Mus musculus: one gene and its partners. The protein of the gene in region 5 purifies or fractionates together with the protein of the main gene of each other region. This does not show direct contact. Links are inferred from orthologs where the notes say so. Each region holds a gene or a part of one and is shown on either strand. Other genes may lie near its edges. The genes, in order: Polr2m, Med19, Gpn1, Gpn2, Polr2j, Gtf2b and Rpap1.

The links.
Region 1: the proteins of Polr2j (region 5) and Polr2m purify together in Homo sapiens (affinity purification with mass spectrometry; 3 studies listed by BioGRID and IntAct, counting the BioPlex papers as one, with this or other methods). This does not show direct contact. The link is inferred for Mus musculus from reciprocal best matches to the Homo sapiens genes POLR2J and POLR2M.
Region 2: the proteins of Polr2j (region 5) and Med19 purify together in Homo sapiens (affinity purification with mass spectrometry; 3 studies listed by BioGRID and IntAct, with this or other methods). This does not show direct contact. The link is inferred for Mus musculus from reciprocal best matches to the Homo sapiens genes POLR2J and MED19.
Region 3: the proteins of Polr2j (region 5) and Gpn1 purify together in Homo sapiens (affinity purification with mass spectrometry; 5 studies listed by BioGRID and IntAct, with this or other methods). This does not show direct contact. The link is inferred for Mus musculus from reciprocal best matches to the Homo sapiens genes POLR2J and GPN1.
Region 4: the proteins of Polr2j (region 5) and Gpn2 purify together in Homo sapiens (affinity purification with mass spectrometry; 3 studies listed by BioGRID and IntAct, counting the BioPlex papers as one, with this or other methods). This does not show direct contact. The link is inferred for Mus musculus from reciprocal best matches to the Homo sapiens genes POLR2J and GPN2.
Region 6: the proteins of Polr2j (region 5) and Gtf2b purify together in Homo sapiens (affinity purification with mass spectrometry; 3 studies listed by BioGRID and IntAct, with this or other methods). This does not show direct contact. The link is inferred for Mus musculus from reciprocal best matches to the Homo sapiens genes POLR2J and GTF2B.
Region 7: the proteins of Polr2j (region 5) and Rpap1 purify together in Homo sapiens (affinity purification with mass spectrometry; 5 studies listed by BioGRID and IntAct, with this or other methods). This does not show direct contact. The link is inferred for Mus musculus from reciprocal best matches to the Homo sapiens genes POLR2J and RPAP1.

What each region holds. Positions count from the first base shown.
Region 1 is NC_000075.6:71,483,184-71,487,309, forward strand, and holds the start of Polr2m (DNA-directed RNA polymerase II subunit GRINL1A), read right to left. Parts: upstream 2,801-4,126; 5' UTR 2,614-2,800; coding exon 2,501-2,613; intron 1,776-2,500; exon of another isoform or gene 1,552-1,775; intron 623-1,551; coding exon 1-622.
Region 2 is NC_000068.7:84,676,917-84,681,201, reverse strand, and holds the start of Med19 (mediator of RNA polymerase II transcription subunit 19), read right to left. Parts: upstream 2,801-4,285; 5' UTR 2,758-2,800; coding exon 2,541-2,757; exon of another isoform or gene 2,374-2,540; intron 1-2,373. Other genes in the region: Tmx2 (thioredoxin-related transmembrane protein 2 isoform a precursor), read left to right, coding at 3,163-3,351. UniProt on the Homo sapiens protein: Component of the Mediator complex, a coactivator involved in the regulated transcription of nearly all RNA polymerase II-dependent genes.
Region 3 is NC_000071.6:31,508,241-31,511,740, reverse strand, and holds part of Gpn1 (GPN-loop GTPase 1), read right to left. Parts: intron 2,443-3,500; coding exon 2,335-2,442; intron 910-2,334; coding exon 830-909; 3' UTR 1-829. UniProt on the Homo sapiens protein: Small GTPase required for proper nuclear import of RNA polymerase II (RNAPII). May act at an RNAP assembly step prior to nuclear import.
Region 4 is NC_000070.6:133,583,181-133,587,172, forward strand, and holds the start of Gpn2 (GPN-loop GTPase 2), read left to right. Parts: upstream 1-1,192; 5' UTR 1,193-1,278; coding exon 1,279-1,689; intron 1,690-2,729; coding exon 2,730-2,886; intron 2,887-3,992. Other genes in the region: Gpatch3 (G patch domain-containing protein 3), read left to right, coding at 439-652. UniProt on the Homo sapiens protein: Small GTPase required for proper localization of RNA polymerase II and III (RNAPII and RNAPIII). May act at an RNAP assembly step prior to nuclear import.
Region 5 is NC_000071.6:136,115,315-136,119,490, reverse strand, and holds the start of Polr2j (DNA-directed RNA polymerase II subunit RPB11), read right to left. Parts: upstream 2,801-4,176; 5' UTR 2,739-2,800; coding exon 2,686-2,738; intron 1-2,685. UniProt on the Homo sapiens protein: Core component of RNA polymerase II (Pol II), a DNA-dependent RNA polymerase which synthesizes mRNA precursors and many functional non-coding RNAs using the four ribonucleoside triphosphates as substrates.
Region 6 is NC_000069.6:142,778,747-142,782,246, reverse strand, and holds part of Gtf2b (transcription initiation factor IIB), read right to left. Parts: intron 2,556-3,500; coding exon 2,409-2,555; intron 2,278-2,408; coding exon 2,148-2,277; intron 908-2,147; coding exon 626-907; intron 1-625. UniProt on the Homo sapiens protein: General transcription factor that plays a role in transcription initiation by RNA polymerase II (Pol II). Involved in the pre-initiation complex (PIC) formation and Pol II recruitment at promoter DNA.
Region 7 is NC_000068.7:119,763,538-119,767,037, forward strand, and holds the end of Rpap1 (RNA polymerase II-associated protein 1), read right to left. Parts: intron 1,522-3,500; exon of another isoform or gene 1,379-1,521; coding exon 1,202-1,378; intron 1,067-1,201; coding exon 1,007-1,066; intron 908-1,006; coding exon 758-907; 3' UTR 422-757; downstream 1-421. UniProt on the Homo sapiens protein: Forms an interface between the RNA polymerase II enzyme and chaperone/scaffolding protein, suggesting that it is required to connect RNA polymerase II to regulators of protein complex formation.

The DNA of each region.
Region 1 (4,126 bases), on a different chromosome or scaffold from region 5:
ATGAGGAGGGGGCACTGGGTTTCTGGCTCGCATTTCTAGCACTTTCATGTAATGAGGCTTCTTAGGAGTCTCACTCTGCAGTTCTGGAAAGTTCTCAGTGCTGGTGTTTTCTTCTGAGGGTTCACTCTGGTCTGCAATTGTGATTTTTTGCAATTTAGTGATGAAGAGACTGTCGATGCTGCTGGAGATCTCTTCCTCTTGACTTGAAACAGAGTGCTGGGGGAGATGCTCCTTAACTTCGGATGAGGGCGCCCGGGCTCGGATGTGGGCAGCTGGGCTGCTGTTTACTGTGTAGCCAGCCTCCAAAGTCTCTTCATTGCCTCTGTGAGTGAGATGTGTAGGTCCCTGTGTTTCTGAGGTTGATTTAGATGACTTAATGTCTATTGAGGAACAGTCAGGATCTAATGATGAAGTATCAAGCATCAGGTCAGAACTCTGGGCCTTGTCTACATCGGTGTCAGCTCTTGTGGTTGCTTTTTGCCTTAGCTTACAGTCTACACTAACAGGATGAAACAGTTCACTTCTCCCTCTAACCTCTTCACGTTCTGAAATGGCAGCTTTCAGTTTGGCAACTGTGTCTGAGATCTTTTTACCTTTGTCGGGCAATTTGCAAATGAATTTTCTGTGGAGTGGAAAAAAAGAAACCAGCACATACATATTACAGGCATGTTTTTAAACATGGGGAACACAGTATTTAAAAGGCAAAATGGAATCAAAGAAAAGCTGGCTCTTAAAAGTTTAAAAAAAATTTTTTTTGATTTTTAAAAAATCTGGCTTAAGACAATAACCAAACACGTAAAATTATTCTAACCCCTCCCCCAAGGGAGTGCTCTGAATGGGAAATGAAATTCTCTCAGGGTGGAAAGTTTCACACCTGACCACAGGATGATGAGGTGTAGTCAAAACCCAAACTATGAGCAGGGCGTGGTGGCGCACGCCTTTAATCCCAGCACTTGGGAGGCAAAGGCAGGCGGATTTATGAGTTCGAGGCCAGCCTGGTCTACAAAGTGAATTCCAGGACAGCCAGGGCTACACAGAGAAACCCTGTCTTGAACCCCTCAACCCGCCCCCCCAAGCTATAAGGAACATGGTATAAAATTACCTTCAAGCCATGTGTAAGAAACAACTGAAACTTATATTTAAATTTGGGTCTTAACTCTACCCATACATTCCAAGCCTCCTAAAAATATAAAATAATGGTCTTAAGCACTTAGGAAAACATGGTTAGCCTGTACAATAAATATATGATAAGGACCAGTGGGTTTTAAGCCATGGTCTCTGAACCCCGATGAACTGAGGAATGCCAGAGGTTACATAATGGGATAACATCACTATCTTACAAAGGAAGATGGACTTGCTTATGTGGTTCTGTGTTTGAAAGAATTCTCAGTTGCTTCTGGCAAACTGCTAATATTTCTAGACTCAGCATATATAAACAGGAGTTCTTTGAGATGCCAAATAACTCTTAAAGAGTATAAAAATGTTCCAAGACCAGAAGGTTAATTCACTGCTAAAATTAACAACCCAATCTTGAAAAGTCAAAATACCTACCTGTTTCTAGTAGGAACCCCTCCTGCCAAATGGTCATTGGCTCCTTTCCCTCAGTGACAAAAATTCCCTTTCTGGTTCTTTTCCTTGGTTATATAACAAACAGGAGAAGGGGGCTAAACCTTGGGTCCTCTATTTTTCCTGATACATTTATTCCCACGTTTTCAACAGTATTAATGCCTCTCTGCAACTGAGTTCCTCTCGGTTTTTTTCAGCCTTCTCTCTCTTGTGCCTAATACTCATTCCTCTGGGTTTTAATCGGTTGGCTTTTAATTAACTAAATGCCTGCAATTACTCCCTCAACTGAATACGCCCAAAATAAAAAATTAACCTAAAATCCATCCCTCTCTCCCAATTTTCCCATTATTCTTTGTTGCTCCCCAGAAACTTCAACCACCTGTTAACTATTAATATATATTTGTCTCCAAATTATTACACCAGTTCCCCCAATCCCTCGATTGCCTTCATGGTCCATTTTTCCCTCCTTGCTGAAAAAAAAACCTCTCAGAAAATATCCTTTTGGCGTCTTCCTTCAATCCTGTTCCTAAACAAAGCTGCCTTTAGGCAATCAGCTATCATCTTCTCCCCACTACGCATGAACCAAACTTTCCAGCCCGCTCTCCAAATCTATGGTTGGGGAAAGAGTGGGGCTTCAGATAGAGAGAAGGAAATCCCACACGTTCCGATCAAGAGGCTTTGGTACCGGAGCTCGTTCAAAGCTGTAGTGCGAACATGAAATCGAGCAGGCGCGGCTGCCGAGTGAGGGCCGGGCAGCATGGAGCCATGCCCGCGCACAGGACAGGCCTGGCTCGGGAGGCCTGGCCACGCAAGGTCACCTTCGCGCGCCAGGCCGCGGGGCGGGGCGGGAGACCAAGTCCCCGGATCCCGATCCCTGAGAGCCTGTTCCCTGATCCCGATCCCCCGCAACCGCGACCCCAGGGCCACCGCTTACTCGTTGCGCAAAAGTCTCTCCTGGCGCCTCAACCTCTCCCGCAGCTCCGCCGAACTCTGCCGCCCCAAGTCCTCGGGAGCTGGGGGCTCGAAGCCGCGGGGCAGCGAGAACATTGCGCACGGGCTGCGGCTGGCGCGGCGGGCAGGGATCCCCGGCGGGGCCCACGGCGGGCGCTGGCTCCGCGGCCGGCGGCGACTCTGGAGCGCGAGCGGGAGTCGCCATTTTCCCGGAAGAGCACGGCTTCTCCGAGCCGAAGGGAGCTTTATTGAAATGCCGGAAACGGACAGGCCAGGACGAGGGGACGCCCGAGGAAGCGTGCAGGGGCGGAAGTTACATCACCGCCAAGGCGTCTGGGTTTGGCGGGCTTTCTCTGGATGGGCCTTTTGCTTTCCCGGCTTTTCGCCTGTGCACTGGGAAATATAGGACACTCAAGTCAAAGACTTACAAACTCACTTCTAATAAGTAAAATATGACGAAAGTAATAGAGCGTCGCATCTACGATTAAGCAATCAAAGTTTTGGACAAAAAATTTACAGGGATTCCTGAATGGACATTAATCACAGTTAAAATAAATAACGGGGTTATAATGATGGCTCAGTGGCTAAGAGGGCATACTGCTTTTGCAGTATGCCAGAGTTTGGGTACCAGTGCCCCTGTTGGGTAGCTTACAAATGCCTTTAGACTGCAGCTCCAGGGCACTTCACAAACTCTGGCTTCTCCAGACACCTGCGCACAAACACACACACATTAACATAATTTAGTCTTCAAAAAATAACAAGTGACCAATATAGCTAGCTATAATAAAATGCATATTAGAAACAATATAGTCAGGTATGGTCGTGCATGCCTTTAAGTCTGGCTGACTGAGTTCAAGGCCAGCCTGATCTACATAGTGAATTCGAGGTTGCAAAGTGACTCTGTCTCAAACAAAACAAGATTTGAATATTTGAGCAAGTCAGAATATCAGGAATTAGAAAGGTCGACCATGTCAACTGTTGGAAATAATGAAGAGCGACTGAGATTCCTACAGACTGCTAATGGGGGAGCAGAGGATGCAAAATAGTACAGCGTCTTTGGCAAGTAGTTGGACAGTTTCTGATTCGGGCTTTGCTGCCCTGCCCCTTTTTTATTGCTAGGCAGTATTGCATTGTGAGTTGTGTGTTTATGCTGAAGGATATTTGAGTTGTTTTCAGTTCTTAATGATCACAGATCAAGTCACTGTCAACATTTTTAATAGATGTTCATGTCAACATAAACTCTCATTTCTCTTAAGAGTGGGCTTATTAAGCCATATTAACAAAGGGAATAGAAAGGAAGAACGGCTCCACTCTTGACTTCCACGGCCTGAGAAATTCCTCTAATCTTTTAGGGATTTCAAACCAGGGTTTGTAACTTTGATGCTGAAAATATTCAGGACTAGGAGAATAGGAGTCTAATAAAAAATATTTTCATACAGGCCTAAGTATGAGTGTTCAGAGATATAAAAGTGCTCAAATGGAACATATACCCAGAGATGGGCATGGGCTTCTCAGGGAGAGTCACATTTCATTGTTTTTATAACACTTATACCTGATGGACTTCGAAACAATTATCTTTGAAGCATTGCTAAGAGATCTAAGAGACCAC
Region 2 (4,285 bases), on a different chromosome or scaffold from region 5:
ACTAATCTTCCATGCAAAATTTCTAATGTATCCAGATGGATCTTGCGGGACCAGAGGGTCTGCAGCAGATCTAATTATCTTCTGGGTAGAAAACAGCAACAAAACTGTAACACAGCTAGGCAGTGGTGGCACTTTTAATTCCAGCACTTGGGAGGCAGAGGCAGGCCAATTTCTGAGTTTGAGGCCAGCCTGGTCTACAGAGTGAGTTCCAGGACAGCCAGGGTTACACAGAGAAACCCTGTCTCGAAAAACAAAAAACAACAAACAAACAAAAAACTGTAACACTATTTCCTTTGAGAAAACAACTTTCTAATTTTGTTTACCTATATAAATTCTTCAGTGTTTAGTTCAAATGACATCTTATTCTTGCTGTCATTTTGGCTAACACATTTTGAAAACTATCAGGTAGTTTTTAACATTGCTTCCTGTGTTGAACTATAAATAAATAAGACTGACACCCACAAAATATAAGCACAATCCTTAAACCATGTATTTTGGATCTCAAAAAATAGGCTACCTAAAAACTAGGCTTAATAATCTTCACTTCTCGGGGCTGGTGAGATAGCTCAGTGGTTAAGAGTGCCGACTGCTCTTCCGAAGGTCCCGAGTTCAAATCCTAGCAACCACATGGTGGCTCACAACCATCCATAACGAAATCTGATGCCCTCTCTGGAGTGTCTGAAGATAGTTACAGTGTACTTACATATAATAAATAAATAAATCATATATATATGTATATAATCTTTACTTCTCATAATCCCACCATACCTTGGATATTCAGTACTTATCAACTGATCTATTAATGGTATAATTAGAACAGGTAATGCAAAAGATAAACTGCTGGAAGAAGCTGGGCATGATGGTACATACTTGAAGGTAGAGGCAAGTGGATCTCTGTGAGTTCAAGGCCAGCCTAGTCTACAATGAATTTGAGACAAGCCAGGCTTACTGAGTGAGACCATGTCTCAAAAACCCAGTAAGATGGGCTGGAGAGCTGGCTTAGTGGTTAAGTGCATCAACTGCTCTTCCAGAGGTCCTGAGTTCAATTCCCAGAAACCACCTGGTGGCTCACAAGCATCTGTAATGGGATCTGATGCCTCCTTCTGGTGTGTCCATAGAGAGCAATGGTGTAGTCATATACATATCTTTAAAAAAAACAAAAAACAACTAAAATAAGGAAAAAGAAAACTGCCTTAACAGTCATTTCTTTATGCTTCAGTTCTCAATTAAAAAATACAGACAATACCTATCTATCTAAAAGGACTATAGTAAGTATTACATATTGTTACACACTGCACTGATGTGAACTTCAAACTATTTTGCTAATAAATACTGGGATAACTGAGGTTTTTATTTCTTTTTTGAAGCAGGATCTCATGTCTCCTAGGCTGGGCTTGAACTATAGCTCCTTCTGCCTTCACCTCCTGAGTGCTGGTATGGAGTACTACAAGTTCCCCAAGACTTAACATGTCCAGAACGCCTCTTAAGTTTTAGCTCTTCAAATTTTTTCTTTCCATGCCTTCCTAGTCTCAGACTACTGTACCCTTTGTACAGGACACTCACAATTCCTCTCTCTGTGTATATTTAGTTCTTTATTTCTGTAGGCTTTACCTTTAACATGTATCCTGTATTCATTTGCTTCCCGACCACTAAGCCCTGGTCCAAACCATTCCTTTTCTGAACACTGACTGGCAACTTCTGATTATCCTATTTTCATTTTTCATGTTTCTGCTGGATATCTAAAAATCACTAAATTAGATCATTTTGCACCTATATTGAAATGACTTCAATTTGAACTTTAAACAACCTACCTTGCCTTATAAAAGCCTCTACCTATTTCCCATCACTACTGGATTTTTTCCGCTTTCCTGAGTCCAATGTGTCTTCTGCCCCTCAGATATTCTAAGCCCCGCCCCCCAAGGTCTCCTGATTTAGTTTCTTGTACCTAGTATCTCCTCTCTATCCAAACAGGGATGGCTTTGTTTATTCTTGAATGCTACCTACTCAGAAATGATTCTGTGAACGCGACGCCTTTTGCAAGGCAGGCAAGAGTTCTACCACTGAGCCACGCCCCCCACCACCACAATTTCCCCGAATAATTTTATGAAAGTAAGAATTGATTCAATTCTAATCCTTTCTTTGAACAGGTTAATCTCCGAGTCCCTGACAAGGAAGGCAACTTGCTACAAACCAACAAGTTTGTGACAGACTTTAAACTAAAATCTTAAGTGTCTCCAGAAATGTTAAATCGGGTCTCCCGAGTTCTAAACAACGGCTCACGTTTTTATAGAGTCACAAACGGCAGTCAGAGAACCCGGATCACAGAACTTCTCGCTGAAGGTTGTCCCAGATATTCACACCCAACCCAAACCCACCCCAGAAAATCAAGTTATCCCTTAGGGTTGTGAATCGCCAAAGGGCTTCTGACACTGTTGCCCACTGGCCCCGCGTAGCCCTGTTATCTCACACCTAGCGGGACAGGCTAGCCACACCCTCACCTGAACTACAATCTGAGTGGCTACTCTTGGCCTACTACTCACCTGGCAATTCCCGCATCAGGTAGAAGGGGCCACTTCCAGCCGTCGACTTATCCGCTCCTGCGGGGGCCGAGGTTGCCGTCGAGGGCGGGGCTGCGCCTGGACCACCTCCCGGAGGAGGAGGGGGTGGCGGGGGTGGCTTTCCAGGCCCAAAGCCTAGGGCGCTTGGTGGCGGTGGGGGGTCAGTCTGAGCTCCAAACAGTGCCGTGAAGTTCTCCATAGCACTCTGCGCTCCTGGTTACCCGGGATCGGGCGTTAATTACTTTGATTGGACAGTACTTTCACAGGGTACCACCCTCTTCGTCTAAGAGTGTCCCATCATTGGATACATTAAGCCCCGCCTACCATCTTCCGGCAACTTACTTCCGTCGCCTGAGAGACTGGTTAGGAAGGTGGTTCGCAGACTAATAGCCAATAAAATGACTCAGTTAGAAAAGCGACAACGATGAGGACCAATAGACTATTTAATTCATTTTCTGATCTATTATAGCATCCAATAAGAGATCTACATCCGGGTCTGGAGGCGTTGCATCTGATATTTGGTCCAATAGAAGCCTTGCTGGTGGGGGCGGAGGACGAAGATTTGGGGAGCGGGAGTGAGCCTGCGAGAGAGTAGGCAGGAAAGATGGCTGTCCTTGCGCCTCTGATTGCTTTGGTGTACTCGGTGCCGCGGCTTTCTCGATGGCTGGCCCGACCTTATTGCCTTCTGTCTGCTCTGCTTTCCATTGCTTTCCTCCTCGTGAGGAAACTGCCACCGATTTGCAATGGTCTCCCCACGCAACGCGAAGATGGCAACCCGTGTGACTTTGACTGGGTGAGCGCCCCCTGCCTTACCAGCTCTCGACCTTGACCATCCCTGCCCTGCAGGTGCATGTGAAAATCTGGGAGCAGGTTTCGGGATGTAGCCGCCTTACAGACTGAGTGCAGAGCCTAGGCCGTTATCTAGTCATAACCTCCGTGTTTAAGATGGAGAAACAGATTACAGGGTTTCCATCACAGATGAACAGTATTCTACAGTGATTCCAAGCTACCTGGGGCGCCAGTGAAGAAAAGGCCAATAGTAGAAATACCATTAAATTTTTTTTGTTTAATTTTTAACGAAGTGATCACAGTGTAGTTAGGCGATTTCCCAAGGAAACGCAGCGTTCAGAAAGTGCTGTCTAACCTTATTCAATTCTCTGATAGACTGGCAGACGAAGGTCGCTGACTCAACAAAATAAATGACTTGGATGGAAAATCGAATACTCTGGGCATAGTAACTATGCACACTATCTTCCTGCGGTGGGATAGAAAAACAGGGAAGATTACAAAAATATGAGGTGTGGGGAGGGAGGCCCCTCAACCATCTAAGAAGCAGTATGTAAGAACAATTAACATTTGCCGTAAAGGTTGTGGACATAGAGCTAATAAATACCTATACAGGTATTTATGCTAAAATAGCAATGACCAGGACTTAAGGCCTAAAGGTATTGATATAACCTTGGGCAGGCCTCACATGTTCTGGGACTCTCAAATAAGATTAACTTTGTTTACATTAAAGATACAGTACTGTTGCCAGGCTTTGTGTTGTACCCTTTTGATCCCAGCTCTCTGGAGACAGAGGCAGGTGGACTTCTTTAAGATTGATGTAAGCCTGGTCTATATAGGATTTCTAGATCCATCAGGACTACATAGTTAGACACTAACTCAAAATGAAAGAGCACAACAGATACTCTACTTATCTCAATCCCTGTACTCTAGAGTCTTTC
Region 3 (3,500 bases), about 100 Mb from region 5:
AGGAAAGCTGATTTGGAGGTGTATCCATAAGAACTGCCTGGCTCGTGATTTTACTACACTCCTGAGAACCAGGGCAAATCCTAGCTCTGAATGGACGGAATGGACCAAATCCTGGTCACAAACAATGCTTTGTATTGTTCTAAGTACAATATAAGGACATGATTTTGGCCATGGTTAGGTGGATAGACATGGGAAACTAACCTACTATGCATTATATCCTACCAGACATGTCTTTAAGGCTTGGTCATAACTAATAGTGGGAAATCTATTAGTGATCACATACTTTCTAATATCAAACCATGACAGGAAAGCTTACCACAAAGTTAAAGTCAAAATCTTTATCCAAGTCACCATCCTAACAGTATTCTTGAAAATGGGCTACCTCGTGTGAGCACAGATCACATCCGACCTGGCTGCCCAGGGCACTGTGCTGCCCTCTGTACACACACACTCTCCTTTCCATCCTGCTGTGCCCACAGACCCAGCTAGTCAAGGTCCAAAGCGTCTCTGGGACAGACGTCCTCTCTGTCCATCAGCAGCAGAAATACTTGAGTTCAAACGATGATACTTGAAGTTATAGGCTCAGCAGCTATCTCTCAGCTTCCAGAGCGGTGAGAATACATCCTTGCATAAATATCGGGAGGAGCTACCCAAGAATGGGCATCCACCTGCCAGCTCCGCCTTCAACCAGACTTCATCTAAGCCCAGTTTCCCTCAGAGAAGTCACCATTTGGGAGAAAACTGCTCTTGACTGCAGCCCTGGTTCACAGGAAGGATGTCCTCTGCATGGAGACTCAGCACATCAGAGCTGTACAGCAGGTGGGAGGGCCTACTTGTTCCTCTTCCAGTGTGCCATTGACTCCTCCATGAAGTTCTGAAATGCTGGCTCTTCACGGCTTTCCTCTGTAACTGCAGGAGACAAGGGTGCTGTGTTTAAAACCTTCATAGTAGACAATGAATCAGAGCTCCTGTCATACACATACACACACACACACACACAGACAGAGAGACAGAGAGAGACAGAGAGAGAAAGAGAGACATACATTTTAAAATTATTTTTCACTTTTTCAAGACTGGGACTTGCTATGAATCCCAAGCTGGCCTAGAACCCATAGTCTTCCTGCCTGTCTCTCCAACGCTGAGGTTATAGGCATGTATGCGCCTCCACACCTGGCTGAAATGACTTTTAAGGAATTACATACTTACACCCTCAGTCAATGAAATGGCTTCTAGAACATGCAGCATCAAAGTCAAAAAATCCTAATCTGAGGTCTGCTCAGGCAGGCCAGAGAAAGAAGAGTCCACTCACTCACAGCCTCAGCCTAGCACCAGCACACGTGACTGGCAAACACTCAAACACTTGGGGGCTGGAGAGGCGGCTCAGCAGTTAAGAGCACTTGTTGCTCTTGCATAGGACCTAGGTTTGTTCCCAGCACCTACATGGTGGCTCACGATATCTGTACCTCCATTTCCAGGGGATTTATGACCTCTATGGGGACCAGGCATTCACATAGTACACACAGAGACACACAGGCAAGACACTCACACACAGAAAGGAAAAAAAAACAAAACCACATCTTTAAAACCCAACATTGCTTCCTCCTGTCTATGAGCCAGTAAAACAGATTGCTGGGGGCTCAGAGACATGTTTCTCATGTTTTCCCCCGGTAGAAGCAAAGGGGGCTCAAGAAATAGCTTTGTGAAGTTCTGCAATGAGCACAGCAGTCACTTGGAAGGCTTATGAAACAGCCTGCTGGCCCCCCACCCCAGGGTGAGCGACTCAGGATGTTGCTCAGTATCAATGCTTTTAGCAGGGGGTACAGCCTTCACCACTTATCAACCAAAACACCGGTAACAGACGGAAACAGCAGCACCTGCTAACTGAGTCAAACTCAGGAGAAGTAACAAGACATGAAAGGTACGTTAGTGGACCCTGCCCACTGTGTGGGGGCCACTCGCTAGACAGAGGTCCTGTACTGTGTGGCAGAGAGACCAAGCTGAGTACACGAAGACAAGTGAGGGGCATGCATTCGTTTCCCTGCTCCTGCTGTGGATGTCACCTGGCCTCTCCACAGCATGGAAGCTGCAATAGGAGCGGAAACAATCCCTTTCTCCACTGCATTGCTTTCCATTGGGCTATTTTGCCACGGCAACAGAATGAAATTAGAACACATAGCAAGGTCAGAACTCTTCACATGGAACCCTTTGCTGGTGCTGTGTGCTCTACCATCTTCCCTTTCCCCTGTCCCTGGCCATTTGCTCAGGATCTCCTCTCAACAGTGACAATCTCCTGAGTGGATGGGGCAGCTGCTATGTCCACCGGCTGCCTCTCACCTCTGTGGTCAATGTCATCCGTGTCACTGTCAGCTTCTTCATCCTCCTCATCCAAGGTTCCTCGAGTCAGGATCAAGTCAGAAGGATCCAGCACAGGAGATGCGTTGCCTAGGGTTAAAACACTGATCAGTACACGTGTCTTCTGAGCTGGCTCTGAGCTGTTATGCTGATCAGAGGGCAGCATGAGAGTGCGCTGGACCAACAGACATGCGGGAGAGTTTGTAGTTTTTTGTTTTGTTTTTTGAGACAGTGTTTCTCTGTGTAGCCCTGGCTGTTCTGGAACTCACTCTGTAGACCAGGCTGTTCTTGAACTCAGAGATCCACCTGCCTCTGCCTCCCGAGTGCTGGGATTAAAGGCATGCACCACCACGCCCAGCTACATTAGTTCTTATGTACAAGTGTTTTGCCTTCATATATATTTATGAGCCACAAGCAAGCCCCCTGCCCATGGAAGTGAAAAGAGACTGTTGGATCCTCTGGAACTGCAGTTACAGGTGGTTGTGAGCCATCATGTAGGTGCTGGGAATTAAACCTGGGCTCTCTTCAAGAGCAGCAAGTGCACTTAGCTGCTGACCCATCTCTCCAGCCCCAGGAGTATATATTTTTTAATATAAGCACATCCTAGACACTCACAGAGGGTCAATGATAAAAATAACAGAATGAAGGAAAGAAAGAGGAGTAAGGGAGGGATGGAGGGAGGAGGAGGGAAGATAGCAGAATACAAATAACGAGAAAAAAACTAAACAAAAAACAGCACAAACCCCTACCAGTTACCAGAGTAAAACAACATGTAGTAAAGAAGATAAAATCCACTCAATAATGTAATTAGAAATATGCAAAACATACGCAAGATAACATTCCAGAAAGACTCAAGACCTGCCAAAACGAAAATTCTTCCTGCTCTTGAGGAGGAAGAAGCAAGAGCACAGAGATGTCAGCTCTTCCTGGATTAATTTAGGAGCACAAGGAAACCTCGACACAAAGCTTCCCAGGAAGCTGGGTAAGCTGGTGTGCACGTGCACGTGGTAAGCTGGTGTGCACGTGCATGTGGGCCGTGAATGCAAGAACAGCCGGAGAGGACACAGTACGGGGAGAGCAGCCTGAGCAGGCGCTGAAGCCTTTTCTAAGACGGCCACATTTGAGGAATGTGCAGGCATTTAAGGAAA
Region 4 (3,992 bases), on a different chromosome or scaffold from region 5:
TTTTGAGGTGGGTGTGGGCCCCTCTAAATGAACAGCTTCACAGCAGGTGTAGAAATAGATGACACTGTCCTTATTTTCATTTTAAACCCAATCCTACAACTTAAAGGATCACGGGGCCCTCAGGGAAGTCATTTCCTCAAGTCTGGGTTTTGGCTTCATAAGGGAGTCTGTTGTGGAAATGAAAATTCCCAGGTCCCTGATAGTTGACACTCCTCTCCAGAGGCTGGAGAGCAGAATTTGGAGACAATGCTTTGTCTTTGGTGCTGGAGGTGTGGCTCAGGAGTGAGTGTGTCCTTGCCCCGGGTTCTTGTGCTATGAGCATGAGACCGCTCTGATAGAACAAACCAGATATGTAGTAATTACTTCCTGTCTCTTGCTAACCTCTTTACTGGGCTTTGAAGAGAGCAGCCTTCTCACCAAGAGCTCTGTTTTATCCAGATACCATGGAGAGAAGTTACAGCCATTTAGGCAACTGAAGAGGCCCCGTCGAACTGGCTTGGGGCTCATTTCCACCATCTATGATGAGCCTCTGCCCCAAGACCAGGGGGAGACCTTGCTCCGGCGCCAGCCACCCACCAGCATGAAGTTTCGGACAGATATGACTTTTGTGAAGGGTTCTAGCTGTGCCTTGGACAGACCTGAGCCCGAGTGAGCCTATGTCCTTGGTCAGGATCACTCTGCGGCAGGGACTTAGCCCTCTGCCTGGATCTTGCCCTGTGGACCTGAGAAGCAGCCCAGAGCCTGGGAGCAGCCCTGAGCATGCCCAGTTTCTCTACCTCAAAGATGATATCACCAAAAGCCCCTCCGTCTCCTGGGGTGTTTGTGCCTAAAGGCCTTCCCTTGGTCTCCAGGCCCTAGTGCTTGTTTGGGTTTGCCCAGAACAGTGAAGATCTGGACTGCCTGTGGCACCGTCCAGTCGGGTTTGAGGGTTGTCTGAAGAGCTCCGTGAAGCTGGGAAAGGGGACCAGAGAATTGATCCAGAGAGCGTCGCGGTCCCTTACCACGTCTACCCTCTGCCTAGAGACGGATCGGTGCGAGAATAAACCAGTTTACCCGGCATGGAGATCTGCCTTAGTGAAGCCTGGGGAAATCTTAAAACCGGAGGTGTGCGGTTGCGTGACCACAGCCTATGCCGTGGCCGTGTGGGTGGGACTTCCTCTCCAGACAAGTTCCGGCGGAATCCGGAAGTCGGAACTTTTCCCTTCCTTGCCGGGTAGTTTGTTCGTTTTTCTGCTTGAGTTTACTTGGTGAGGCGCCCGTGGGCTGCCAGCTCCACCCATGGCGGGGGCCGCCCCGACTACGGCCTTCGGGCAGGCAGTGATCGGGCCCCCGGGCTCGGGGAAGACCACGTACTGCCTGGGCATGAGTGAGTTCCTGCGCGCTCTGGGGCGGCGCGTGGCGGTGGTGAACCTGGACCCCGCTAACGACGGACTGCCTTACGAGTGTGCGGTGGACGTGGGCGAGCTGGTGGGGCTGGGCGACGTGATGGACGCGCTGCGCCTGGGGCCCAACGGTGGCCTGCTCTACTGCATGGAGTACCTGGAAGCCAACCTGGACTGGCTGCGCGCCAAGCTGGAGCCCCTGCGAGGCCACTACTTTCTCTTCGACTGCCCCGGCCAGGTGGAGCTCTGCACGCACCACACCGCCCTACGCAGCATCTTCTCCCAAATGGCCCAGTGGGACCTCAGGGTGTGTCTCGGGTCGGGCAGAAGGAATCCCTGAGACCGGGAGGCGGATAGGTGCCACGCCCCCAAGTTACATTGGGAGATAGCGGCTGAGTTAAGTTTGAAGCAGAACTAAAGCCTCTGAGATAGAATTTTAGCTCGGCCCCAACTCATTTCATGGTCTTGGAAAGTCCTTTCACTCAGTTTTGTCATCTCTAAAATGAATGTGACAGTTCCCAATTTTAAAAACAGTGGAAGTGACTACACAGAAAGTGGCTTAGTGATTGGTTAGTTGGTGTTCAGAAGTGTGATGAAAGAGTAGAGAGGTAGGTGCAGTGTGATTTGAACCCTTTGTCCACTGCAGGAACTGTGCAAGAGACCTTGGAAGAGGTGTTGGAGATTAGCTCAGTGGTAGAGAACTTGTCTAACAAGCAGAGGCCACAGTCCCTGGGTTTGGTCCCCAGAATAGTAGGAAGGACAAAATGGTAAAATTGCCCCCTATCTTCTTGGAGGAGGACATGATGTTATTAAATTTAAATTAAGTTGCCTGGCGGTGGTGGTGCACGCCTTTAATCCCAGCATTTGGGAGGCAGAGGCAGGCTGATTTCTGAGTTCGAGGCCAGCCTGGTCTACAGAGTGAGTTCTAGGACAGCCAGGACTACACGGAGAAACCCTGTCTTGGAAAAAAAAAATTAAGAACAAGAGGCAGGAAAATATCTCAGGCCTGTAACCCCAGCAATGTGGTGTGGAGGCAGAAAGAGTTCTGGGCCATCAAGCCCTGTCTCAAGCAGGCACATGAACAGGAAATAGAACAGTACTAAGGAAGGAATAGAACAGTACTAAGGAAGGAATAAAACAGTACTAAGGAAGGAATAGAACAGTACTAAGGAAGGAATAGAACAGTACTAAGGAAGGAATAGAACAGTACTAAGGAAGGAATAGAACAGTACTAAGGAAGGGTACACTGGATCCGTGGGCTGCCAGGCTCTCGAGGGAGATGTGGGCTCAGAAGTGTCCTCCCTCACCAGGTCAGTCTTCCTCTCACCCTGTACCTTCTGCTCACAGCTGACTGCTGTCCACCTTGTGGATTCTCACTACTGCACAGACCCAGCCAAGTTCATCTCCGTCCTGTGTACCTCCCTGGCCACCATGCTGCACGTGGAATTGCCCCACATCAACCTCCTCTCCAAGATGGACCTTATTGAACACTATGGGAAGCTGGGTAAGAGACTGCCTGCAGCGCGAAGGGAGCTACCTCGCTGCCTTCCTGACTTTTGGCCATTATTTTGTGCGCTGTGCTAGATGCCACAGTTGATTTAGAGATGAGAGCTACAGATGGGGCTTTAAAGGATTTAAAACAGGTGGTAGTACAGTGGCTGGCTGAAGGGAGTGGATCACAGCTCACTGCTCTGAGCCATGGCACCCTGACTTTTGGGTACCTGTTCTGGCCTGTACAGTAGAGGCAAAGTGCTGTCCTAGTTGGGGCTGTTGTAATCAAACTACCATCAACCCAGTGCCTAAGACAACGGACATTTATTCCTCATGTTCTAGAGAGTGGGAAGTCTTAAGACCTGCATGGGTAGATGCAAGGTCTGGCTAGTAGGTGGCCACCTTACCCCTGCATCCTCACATGGCAAGGGGAGTTGGGTAGTGTCATGTCGCAATGGCCAGCATATCTTTCTGCCAGATCATTTCTCTGCTGTGCTAGTAGCATGGGCTCTTTAAACTCCGAAGTCATAAAGGAACAGAGGGAAGGAAGCTGATGTCTAGCAGGTGAGCAGAGGGGGAGGCTGGGAAATGACGTGGAAGTGGCCTTGCCTGGTGAGGACATGGAAGGATGCCAGCCACATCAGTCAGCTCATCTTCGAGGGCAGCTGACCACGGAGCCCAGTGGCTGTCAGGGCACTCTTCCTCTTTATTAGGAAACTGTGCATGGAGCAAAAGCCTGCTGTTAGAGCATCTGCTCTGGTCCTGCTCTAAGGAACTGGCCCAGGAAGGGAAGGTGCCTTACCCAGGAGGCCTTGCTGCTGGACTGAAGAGCGATTCAGTTTGACCAGCGTTTCCTAAGTCCTTCCAGTGTGTGTGCTAAGGCCCTGGGCTCTGACCAAGCTTCAGGAAGCAGGGACTAAGCATAGTTCTCAGTACCTGTTTGACACTGGTGTGGACAACCATTGACTGACTGTTTCTGTGTACAAGGCAAGATGATGGGTTTACAAGCTGTAGTCCTCACAACAGTCCCAAAAGGTGTGGTGGTGCATGTCTCTAATCCCAGCACGTGGGAGAGGAAGGCAGGAGGATTGCTTTCAAAGCCAGCTTGTTATGTGATAC
Region 5 (4,176 bases):
CTACAGGTCTAGCCCTGGGAGGCCTTTTTCAGTCTACTCACCAGTAAAGGACTCAGAGCTCTGGCATGGTTCAGTGGCCAACCATTAACCTCCCATGTGTAAGTCTCTGGGTCTCATCTCCACCACTCCCACCGTCCAAACAATAAACAAGGTAGGCCTGCCTGGTAGTTCAGACCAGTAATCCCAGCAATTTGGGAGGCTGAGGCAGGAGGATAGAGAAACACCTCAGCCATCACCCTGGCCTTTCTCTTTGCTTAAGGTAGAATCTCATTTGCCAATGGACACACTGTGCTTGTCTCCACTTCCCATGCCCCTGGAGAAACACTGGAAGCAGAACTCAGATCTACACACAAGTCCTCAGCATGACAATCAATCAATCAATAAATGCTAACAAGGAACCGCCTCTCCCCTGTGATGGCCTCCTATTTATATACCAGGGAGCATGGACTTAGCAGTCCTTGTTTTTGTTTGTTTTTTTTGAGACTACATTTCTTCGTACTTGATCTGTAGACCAGGCTGGCCTTGATCCCCCTGCCTCTGCCTCCCAAGTGCTGGGATTAAAGGTGGATTAAAATCCACCGCTCAGTTAAGGATTGCTCCTTTTTTCAAACTCGGTACACAAATATTTTCTTACTTTGTCCACGCCTGTCTGAGATAAGAGGACAACCTGTAATTGTCAGGTCTCTCCTGGTACCATAGTGGTCCCAGGGACTGAACTCAAGTCATCAGGCTTGCCTGCGGGTGCCTGCGCTCAAGCCATGTTGCCAGCCCAGAACATGGATGTTTTGGACCTGATTGTCCTTTTCTGGGAGCCTGTCTACTGCACCAAGGGTTGTTATCAGCATCCCTTGCTGCTATCCACCCGCTGCCAATACCAACGTGCCTGGGACAACCAGAACCTTTTCCAGATGGCCAAATGCTCTTGCTCATGGGACAACAACCGGGCTCTCAGTTGAGAATATGCCCCCAAGGAAGGCTGAAGTAGCTATCAAATGTCAATCACAAAACCCTGCCTCTTAGGAATGAGCAGTGTCGGCTACAGGTCTGCAGTGTACACTGTACTGGCAAACTCGGAGGATCTTGAAGAACTTCATTATTTATTGACTGATTGATACAGGGATGAAATGAGCCCCGTGCATGCTAGGTAAGCAATCTACCACTGGGGTATACCTCTGAGAGGCCAAATCTACTCCATCTTGGGACCTGCTACCTCCATCTTAAAGAAAAAAAAAAAAGCCGGGCGTGGTGGTGCATGCCTTTAATCCCAGCACTCTGGAGGCATTGGCAGGCGGATTTCTGGGTTTGAGGCCAGCCTGGTCTACAAAGTGAGTTCCAGGACAGCCAGGGCTATACAGAGAAACCCTGTCTTGAACCCCCCCCCCCCCCCGCAAAAAAAGCCTGAGAACTTGACCTACAGCAGAACCCAAGATGCAACCAAGTACCAGGAAGGACCTCACGGCTTGTCCCTTGGCCCATACCCCAGAGTTACTCCCTAGCAACAGTTAATCAAAGATTAGTCTGGTTGCTTCAGATCTACTTTCAGATAGTTTGTGATTGTTCATCTCCCTTCACAGCACCACCTGTCAGCTTACAACAGACATTCAGTTAGATACCTGCCAAGCTCCATACCCCGTCACTCCCACTCCCTAGAAAACCTTGTCCTGGGTTCAAGGCTGCTCTGCCTTCTCTTCCTGTCCTGTTGTGTCAGGGTTGGGTTGGAGGAGAGCCCAAGCCCGAGCTTGTGATAAAGAGACCCTAATGGAAACGGCTCCTTAATGATCTTTTGGGGTTCACAAACGATTCCTAGCACACCTCCATACCTTTTTCCCACTGAGATAGAGACTAAGCTGACTTCCAAGAAGGGGCACACACACGAGAGAAGGGTTACACAAGAGAGAAGGGTTCGTAGCAAACTTTGAGTCATCAAAAGAGTGTATTTGGCTACCATTAAGACAATTACATAAAGCCAGAGCCGGTGGCTCAGGCCGTTAATCCCAGGTAGAAGCAGGTGGATCGCTGAGTTTGAGGCTAGTCTGGTCTGCAAAGCTCGTTCCAAGACAGTCAAGGAGGATACACAGAGAAACCCTACCTCCAAAAGACAATTAGATGCTTAATCTCTAAACCTGTAGCCACTCGAGTGCAAAGTACTTCCCCCTGCTCTCTGAATGCACACAGACCCAACTTGCGTCTGTCTTACTTTCTTAGCGCTCTCTTCCTCTGAACCCTCCTGCTTAAGCCCATATTAAAGTATCTTTAATTAAAAACCCACCAATCCTGCTTCACTAAACCGAAGAGTCCTGAAATTCTTTTTAGCGTGGAGCCACGAACCCGGGTTTGGCCTAAGTCGGGATCCCTGAAAATCTAGGAGAAACCCTCAGGTTGCTGAGGAGTGTAAGAGAGCTGTGTCTCTGTCCCTTCACAGCTGTCATCATGAACCAAGTGTCTGGAGCAAGACACTCCATGTCCCAGAGCCTCCGATTTCCCACTGCAAAATGCATGCACGCGCCAGTGCTTCGCGCCGCTGCCTGAAGCTGGGCAGACTCGCATTGAGCAGCACGGAAGACTCAAAGCAAAGCCCGCCTCCCGCCTCGGTTTCCCCAGACAGGAGCAGTGCGGCGCTCCAGCGGAGCTGACGGCCGGCAGGCTCCTATGCAACCGTCCCCGCCTCCGCCGGCCTCCACTTACTTCTTCTCGCCCTCGAAGAGCAAGAACGACTCGAAGGCCGGAGGAGCGTTCATCCTAGCGCCGCGCTCTCGCTCCCCGACACCAACCCACAGTCTCCTTCCGCCAACAGAGCCCCGAAGCGCGACCACTTCCGGATTTCTCAGCCGCAGCCAATCAGTGTAAGCACCTGGCCCCCGCCCCCTAGCGGCTCGGATGACCTAATGCAGGCGCAGGCAAGGCTGAGGGCGAGCCGTGCGCATGCGTCAGTTTAGAACCCTTGTTCGAGGCGTCCATGCTGAGTGTTTTGGCGCGTGCTCCCGCGCCCGGAGTTGAGCCACCTGTAGCTGGCTCCCCGGTACCGACTGAATGGGACTAAGAGTCTAAGTGGGCTGCTGCTGCAGGACCCCCGGGTGGGCCGACACTGGCGGACTTATGAGGCCTTCTAGATGAGGACCAGTGGAGCAAGAAGGGATGTAAAGGTTGGGGAGGAGCTTGGGGTACCAGCGCATCTTCTCTTGAGCACACAGGTAACTAAAAACACGATGAAAGCTTTGCACCTCGCCATTTTTCAGCGGTCTCTGTAGCAATCTTTTATTTTTCCTATTTTTAAAGATTTTTATTTGCATATCTTGTATGGGCACGTATATGCAGGTGCCTTTGGAGACCAGAAGAGGGTTGGGTCACCTGGAGCTGGAGTTACAGGTGGTTGTGAGCCCCCCCTGCCCCAGTGGGTGCTGGGAACCGAACTCCAGTCCCCTGCAGGAGCAGTAAGACCCTTAACTGCTGAGCCATTTCTCCAGCCTCCCTGATGGCTCATCTTGTCAACCGGATGAAATTTAGAATCATCCTAGAAACAAACCCCTAGGAGGGGCCAGCAAGACAGCCCAGTGGGCAAGGGGGAGTGTGACCAAATCTGATTACCTAAATTCAGTCCCCAGAACCCACGTGGTGGTAGAGAACAGACTTCTCCGACCTCCCTTCACGGTATGCATTTACACATGTGTGCACTCACAATAGAGAATAATAATCATAACCATAATAAAGAACGTTTGGTTGTCTTTGGGATTCTAGACAGATTTGACTGAGGAAGACAGACGTGTATGGCATCATCCTAGAGGCTCAGGAGTCAGACTACAGCTTCCTGGCGCAGATGCAGTGTGCTTGGCTGCCTGGGAATCCTGTTGCTATGACATCTGCATTGTATACCCTTCCTTAAGATGCTTCTGGTTGGTTGTTTTTTTGTTTTTTTTTTTTGGGGGGGGGGTTCGAGACAGGGTTTCTCTGTGTAGCCCTGGCTGTCCTGGAGCTCACTTTGTAGACCAGGCTGGCCTCAAACTCAGAAATCCGACTGCCTCTGCCTCCCGAGTGCTGGGATTAAAGGCATGGACCACCACGCCTGGCTGCTTCTGGTTGTTGTTGTCTTGGTTTTGTTTGTTTTTCAAGACAAGTGTTTCTCTGTGCAACCCTGGCAGTCCTGAAACTTGCTCTGTAGATCAAGCTGGCATCGAACTC
Region 6 (3,500 bases), on a different chromosome or scaffold from region 5:
CATGTCATTGATTTCCACTCAAGAGTGCCCGCCTAGGGACTCGGTTTTTGACCATGTATGACCACAATCCCAGATCCTAGCTGAGATGTCATCACTCTGCCTAAACATAAACCCCCTCTTTAGCCTGGAAGTGTAACTTCACTGACCTCCACCTGTGAGATGGATGAACCCACTTGAGAGGTGCTTCCTAATAAACTTGCCTTTATCTACTTTAATCTGGTGGAATCTGGCCTATATCTGCATCACCCAGGGAGAGTAACCACTGAGAAGCTGTGCATGTTCCAGTAAATCCCTTCACAAAAGACACATATGAAAATTAAACAATTTAATTTGGAAAAGGAGCCTTGCACACAGGCTGTATACCTCTAAATAACCACTATAAGCAAGCTACTGTACTTTCTTGAGGTATTGTTTTGTTGTGAGGCTAGGAATGAAAACCAGGCTCTCAAGCACACTAAGCAAATAATCTCTTGGTGAAGAGGACTCTGTCCAATCCTTCCTCCTTATGAGTTAATGCTTCTTCAAGGATCTGAATAGTTAACCCTTTCCATGGGAGATTATGAGTAAGACCACTACACTCCCAGCCTTGCCATCTCATTGGCTGATGTCCTGATGAAGCTCCTACCTTTCTGTGTTCGCTTCTCAGCTGAAGCCTGGGAAGCCATGTAAATAGCTGCTGCCGCCACAGAGATCGGGCTCCTGCCAGGAACCAAGTCCAGCTCCACTGCCTTGCGGGCTATGTGTGTAGCTGCCATCTGCACTTGCTTGGGGAGGCAAAGGTTGGAGCAGAACCTGGACATGAAGTCCCCAGTTGTGATCAGATCCACGCTGGTTTCCAGAGCTTTCAAAATCAGTTTAAAACAGCGGCCAATTTCTTTCTTAGAGATTCGAGACACAGCACATATTTCTAAAAGAGAAAGTATTTTTAAAGAATTTGTAAGACAATTCATTTTATAAACTTTATTATAAAATTAAGTAATAAATAATTATTATTTATTATTAATAAATTATTAAAATATTCTGGTTGTAAAAAATTCAATCAAGGCTTAAAGATGAGCCCTAAATCCTCTCGGAAGTACTTCCTATGGAGCTTATTTATTCAAAACATATTGGTTTATATTTTCACCACACTTTGGACTGTTTTCTTTCAAAACACAAACTTATCTAGTTCAATTTATACAATAAGTTTCTCCAAGGAATCAACTTCTCTGACAGCCTGGTAAGAAATGTTCTAAGGAGAAGAAAGAAAACACTCAAGCTGGAGAATGCGAGTGCACATGTATGACCTGCAACTGTCTGCATGCTGTCGCTATATAAGCTAAACTCTTACCCCTGTTTGAGCTGTTACAGCAAAAGAGCTGTGCTAGTCATCCCTCTACCCGTGACTTAGGAAAGCTTATGAAAATGCTCATTGGATATGGTGACTATAGTCCCGACCTGGACCTGGTCAGTGATGGGCAGTGTAGGTATCACCACAACACTGGAGGAGTTTGTCCTGAGGAAACACAAGCTCGACAAAAGCCAGCACTTAAATCAGAAGTCCTTAGTTTGCATAAAACTGCAAACAATAAGCCTCAAAAAACAAAACAAAAATGAAACAACAACCTAATTACATTGACCCCTTCCAAGACCTGACCCCTCAAATGTGAAACCTATGCTGGCTGTGGTTTCCATCACCAGCTATATATGTAACTTCAAAAGCCTCTCCAGCAGATGATGTCAGGGCTCCTATAAAGCAGTCAGCTGTGGGGTTGGAGAGATGGCTCAGCAATTAAGAGCACTGGCTGTTCTTCCAGAGGTCCTGAGTTCAACTCCCAGCAACCACGTGGTGGCTCACAGCCATCTGTAATAGGATCAGATGCCCTCTTCTGGTGCCTCTCAAGACAGCTACAATGCACTCACATACATAAATAATTAAAACAAAAACAAAAAAAAAACCAGTCAGCTATACTGTTGACTTACAGGGATTAAAATGCTACCTGCATAAGCAGCTTGCAAAGAACATGGCAAAGAAGCCTGTCTTGTACATTTTTCTGTCAAAGAACATACAGAGCCACTGGCAAACGGTGTGTACATGGATCACTGTGCAGTGTCATTAAGCATTGACGCTGCCTGTCTGAGCTCTACTTGGTACAACTGAAGCCTACCTTTAAATGTCCTGGGAACGCCTTCTTGTCTACAGGCGATGTACAGACAAGCAGAGGCTATCGCGTCATTAGCTCTGCCCTTCAGGCTCTTCTGCTCATACACTTGCTTGAATAAATTATTTGTTCGATCCTTCAAAGCAGAGAAACTTAGTTTAATTAAGTCTAGGCCATTTAATCACTTACAGTATCAAAATTGTATGTATTCATTAAATTATGCAGAGTAAAGTCAGAATGGCTTGGAGGAGGCGGATAAGAACTTACAACTATATTGCGAGGGAGGTTGATTCTGTCCGCCATGGTCGTGATTTCCTTGAATGCGTTCATCATTGCTCGATCAGAGCTACTCATTGTTCTCCGGTTCTGATACTTAGAATTGCCAAACTCATCAAAACTTGCAGCTCCTGTACCCTATAAAACAAAGATTTAACCTTGGTCAACATTTTTGGAAAATGTGAACAGTGTCTATGAAAATGTAATGTACACACTCTGACTCCATATGCCCCGGGAGTCTGTCCAGTGGAGCCTGTGACTCAAACAGAAACTTCCATTAGAACATGCTTTAAAGAGGTTGGTTTCAGGAATACTTAAATCTTGGCAATTGCTCAACAATACAGAAAATGGAACTATATGCCATGTTAGAGCTTTCCTACTGCACAATCTTGCTTTGTTTATTTTTTGAGACAGGTTCTTACTATATAGGCCTTAACTGGCTACGTAGCCTGGAGAGATTCTCCAGCTTGACCTGCTGCCTGAAGACAGCTCTAGGATTGAAGTTTGTGACTATGGTGGGGTGTGTATGTATGTATGGCCTTTGGTAGAATCATTACTTGGGTCCATCACTGGTTCCCCATCTGGGGTAAACAGATGTTCATGTTGGATCTCCTCATAAAAAGTCTTACACAACTGATACCAAAGATGGTAACGTTGTTTGTAAAAATATGTAATAGGTATCTGCCTGTGTGTGTGTGTGTGTGTGTGTCTGTGTACCAGTGCATTACTGATGCCAAGGGAAATCAGAGGAATCCCTTAGGATTGCAGTTACAGTTTGTGAGCCAGGAATTTCACCCAAGTCTTCCAGAAAAGCAGCCAAATGCTCTTAATCCCAGCCCAAGTTTCTAATGTTGATTACAAGACTGTAATTTTTTCTTCTGTAGACAGTCAGCCTCTCTCCCCAGCCATCCCTGTCATTGCTCAATGGACACATGAACAAAGTGGCCATGGTGGTCGAGATGGAGGTTATGCTTGGGCTCAGCAACACGGACTTCCACTCACCAAGGCCGACCTGGCTACAGCTCCTGCAGAATGCCAGATCTGCCAACAACAGAAACCAACACTGAGCCCCAGATATGGCAC
Region 7 (3,500 bases), on a different chromosome or scaffold from region 5:
AAGTACCAGGGCTGGAGGATAGCTCAGTGGTCAGCGCAGCCAAGTCTGGTCTCTATACCCACAGCAGGGAGCTCAAAACCACACAGCTCCAGGGGGATCCAAAATCATCTCCTGGTCTCTGTACACATGCCATACTCACATACAGATGAACACACATTATAAAAAAAAGCCCACTGAGAACGGCATAGGAGAACTACACCAGGCTGACATTTGGGTTCTCTGACCTCAGCACTTCCAGGGCATGCTGAGTCCTCCAGGACCACACCCACTCCAGGCGCACTGTCACTGACTCCCAGGACACACACCTCTGCCACCCCCAGATGGTAATGTGTTTACCTCCCATTGTGACATTTTCTCCCATCTCTCTCCTCGGGAAAATCCATCCTTGCTACCAACTCTGAATGTGACAAAACAGTCCAGATCAGTCAGACTAGAAAAGAATTTATTTCAGAGTGTAGCACAGTAATTGCACATCCTGGTCTGGTGAAGACTGGAGGTGAGTGAGGAGAGCTGTGCTCAGACTGTCCTGGGCACCGCAGGGTAAACACTGAAGCCACCCTCCTTCCACGCCTGGCACAGCCCTCAGCCCCCAGATCCTGAGCTCCAGTATCATGATGTAATACGAGTCCCTTCTGTTCTAAAAAAGGCTCAAACAATGTGCTCACAGGAAGGCAAGTCTTGTGTTGCCTTCTCTCGGGAGGCTCACTGCTCAGTCCCAGGAGAGTAGAGTAGTCATCTTTAGCTGGGGGCAAGTGCCCTATGTCTTGACTCCTCCATTCTGGAGCCCCTCTGTGGGCAGTGTCTGAAGGCACTGCTGCCTCAGGCGAGGTAACTGGGAATACAGCTCAAAGCCCTCTGGGAGGCTGGAGTTGGGAAGCTTATAGTGGAGGAGATGCTGCCGCAGCCCCTGCAGAGAAGACAAAACCCATGAAGTGGGTGGTCAGTTTGTTGAGGTTTGGTACCTTAATGTCCTGTATCTTTTCCGTCCCGACACCCACAATACTACCTCATCTGTCAGCAGCCACGTTCTCTGCAGCATACTCCTTCGGGCAGTCTTTACCTCATCCTGGGAGTGGACGGAAGAGAGATATGACACAAAGCCGAGGACTGGTACCCACCCAGGGACTCACTTAACCCTCAGCCCATCCCCAACTGGTCCACCAGCTCCCTCCTTCCCTCTGAACATAGAGAGGTGACTTACTGAGCTCTTTGGGTCTTGGCAGAAGATGAAACTGTTGACATGAGCCACGGCTACAGTGTAGAGGATGGGGCACCAACGTGCACGGAGTGTACCAGTAACCAAGGCCCGGAAGTAGAGCTGAAGGAGAGGCAGGCTGTCTTCAGCAGGCTCTGTGTAGCACTCCAGAGGCACAGGCAGCTGTGACAGAAGGAAATGATATGCTGAGGGCCAAGTGGGAATGTCCATCAGTAGCAGCAGTGGATGACTGTTGGTCACATGCCATCAAATCACAGGGCAGAAATCAGGTCCTAGAAAGACCTCCCTTCTTTAGTGCCTGAAAGCTAAAGGGCAAAGACTGGTTGGTATTAGGGCATAGTTTACAGCCTGAGCGCACCTTCCTAGGATGCATGAAGCCCTGTGTTCCATTTCTAGTGCGCGCACACACACACACACACACACACACGTAAACACACACACACAAAGTAGATTTCTTTTTTGTTGTTGTTGTTGTTTTGTTTTTTCAAGACAGGTTTCTCTGTGTAGCCCTGGCTGTCCTGAAACTCACTCACTCTGCAGACCAGGCTGGCCTCGAACTCAGAAATCCACCTGCCTCTACCTCCCAAGTGCTGGGATTATTGGCGTGCGCCACCACTCCCGGTTTAAGTATTGATTTCTTAAGAGTATTTAAGGGATGGCAACTGCTCATGATGTAAGGTTAAATGAAAAATTCATTAAGCAGTAATTCCAATTTTATAAAAATATACAAATACACGGGGCATGGTGGCGCATGCCTTTAATCCCAGCACTCGGGAGGCAGAGGCAGGCGGATCTCTGAGTTCGAGGCCAGCCTGGTCTACAAAGTGAGTTCCAGGACAGCCAGAGAAACCCTGTCTTGAACCCCCGCCCAAAAATATAAATAAAAACAATACTTACTGAGCTGGGAGTGGGAGCAGGTGCCTATCATTCCTGCACATACACAGAAGGCCACGGCAGGGGTTACAAGGCTGAGTCCAGCCTGGGTCACATAGGAAGGCACTGTCTCAAAACCTTTATTTTCCCTTGAAACAGGGTCTCTTTATGAAGCTCTGGCTCTGAACTTCTACATAAACCAGGCTGTCTTCAGACTCACAGAGACTCAACTGCCTCTGCGTCCCAAGTGCTGGGATTAAAGGTGTGCACCACTATACCGGGCTCTAAAATGTTTTTAAATAAAAAAATTACTATGAGTAACTATTAAATTTTTAATTTTTTTATGTTTTAATAAATGTACATGTGCGTGTGTATGTGTGTGTGTTTTATGTACACGTGAATGCAGGTGGACATGCTCATGCAGGCATGAACTTGAGGACACTAGGCATCCTGTTCTGTTTCTCTGCCTTACTCCTTTGAGACAGTGGAGCTAGGAGTGGCTAGCAAGCTCTCTATCAACTGAGCTACAATCCTTAGCACGCTGAAGAGTGTCTGGACTCACCCTAGACTGGACTAGAACTCTGTATATAGCCTAGGCTGTCCTTAAACTTCTTCTTCTTTTTTTTTTTTTTTTTTTTTTTTTGGTTTTTTTCAAGACAGGGTTTCTCTGTGTAGTCCTGGCTGTCCTGGAACTCACTCTGTAGACCAGGCTGGCCTCGAACTCAGAAATCTGCCTGCCTCTGCCTCCCAAGTGCTGGGATTAAAGGCATGCGCCACCACACCAGGCTTGTCCTTAAACTTCTATTCCTGGGGCTGGCGAGATGGTTCAGTGGTTCAGAGCACTGACTGCTCTTCCAGAGGTCCTGAGTTCAATTCCCAGCAACCACATGGTGGCTCACAACCATCTGTAACGGGATCTGATACCATTTTCTGGTATCTAAAGACAACTACAGTGTATTCATATGTATAAAATAAATAAATCTAAAAACCAAAACAAAACCTTCTAATCCTCCTGACTCAGCTCCCGAGAGCCTGTGTTGCCAGGCCTGGTTCTCTTTACAACCTGTGAGCTGACTCTTTAGTCTGATCACCCTTTAGGGCTTTGCTTCATAGCCTTTTTCTAGTAAGCACTTAAGAGTCAAATTTTTCCCAAACTTCAGCACTAAGACAACCTCTCTCCTCCACCTCATCTTTTCCTTAAGGTAAAGTCCACTCCAATCTTTTTTTTTTTTAAGATTTATTTATTTATTTATTATATGTAAGTACACTGTAGCTGTCTTCAGACACTCCAGAAGAGGGAGTCAGATCTCTTGCTGGGATTTGAACTCTGGACCTTCGGAAGAGCAGTCAGGTGCTCTTACCCACTGAGCCATCTCACCAGCCCCACTCCAGTCTTTTAAAAATTCTCTGA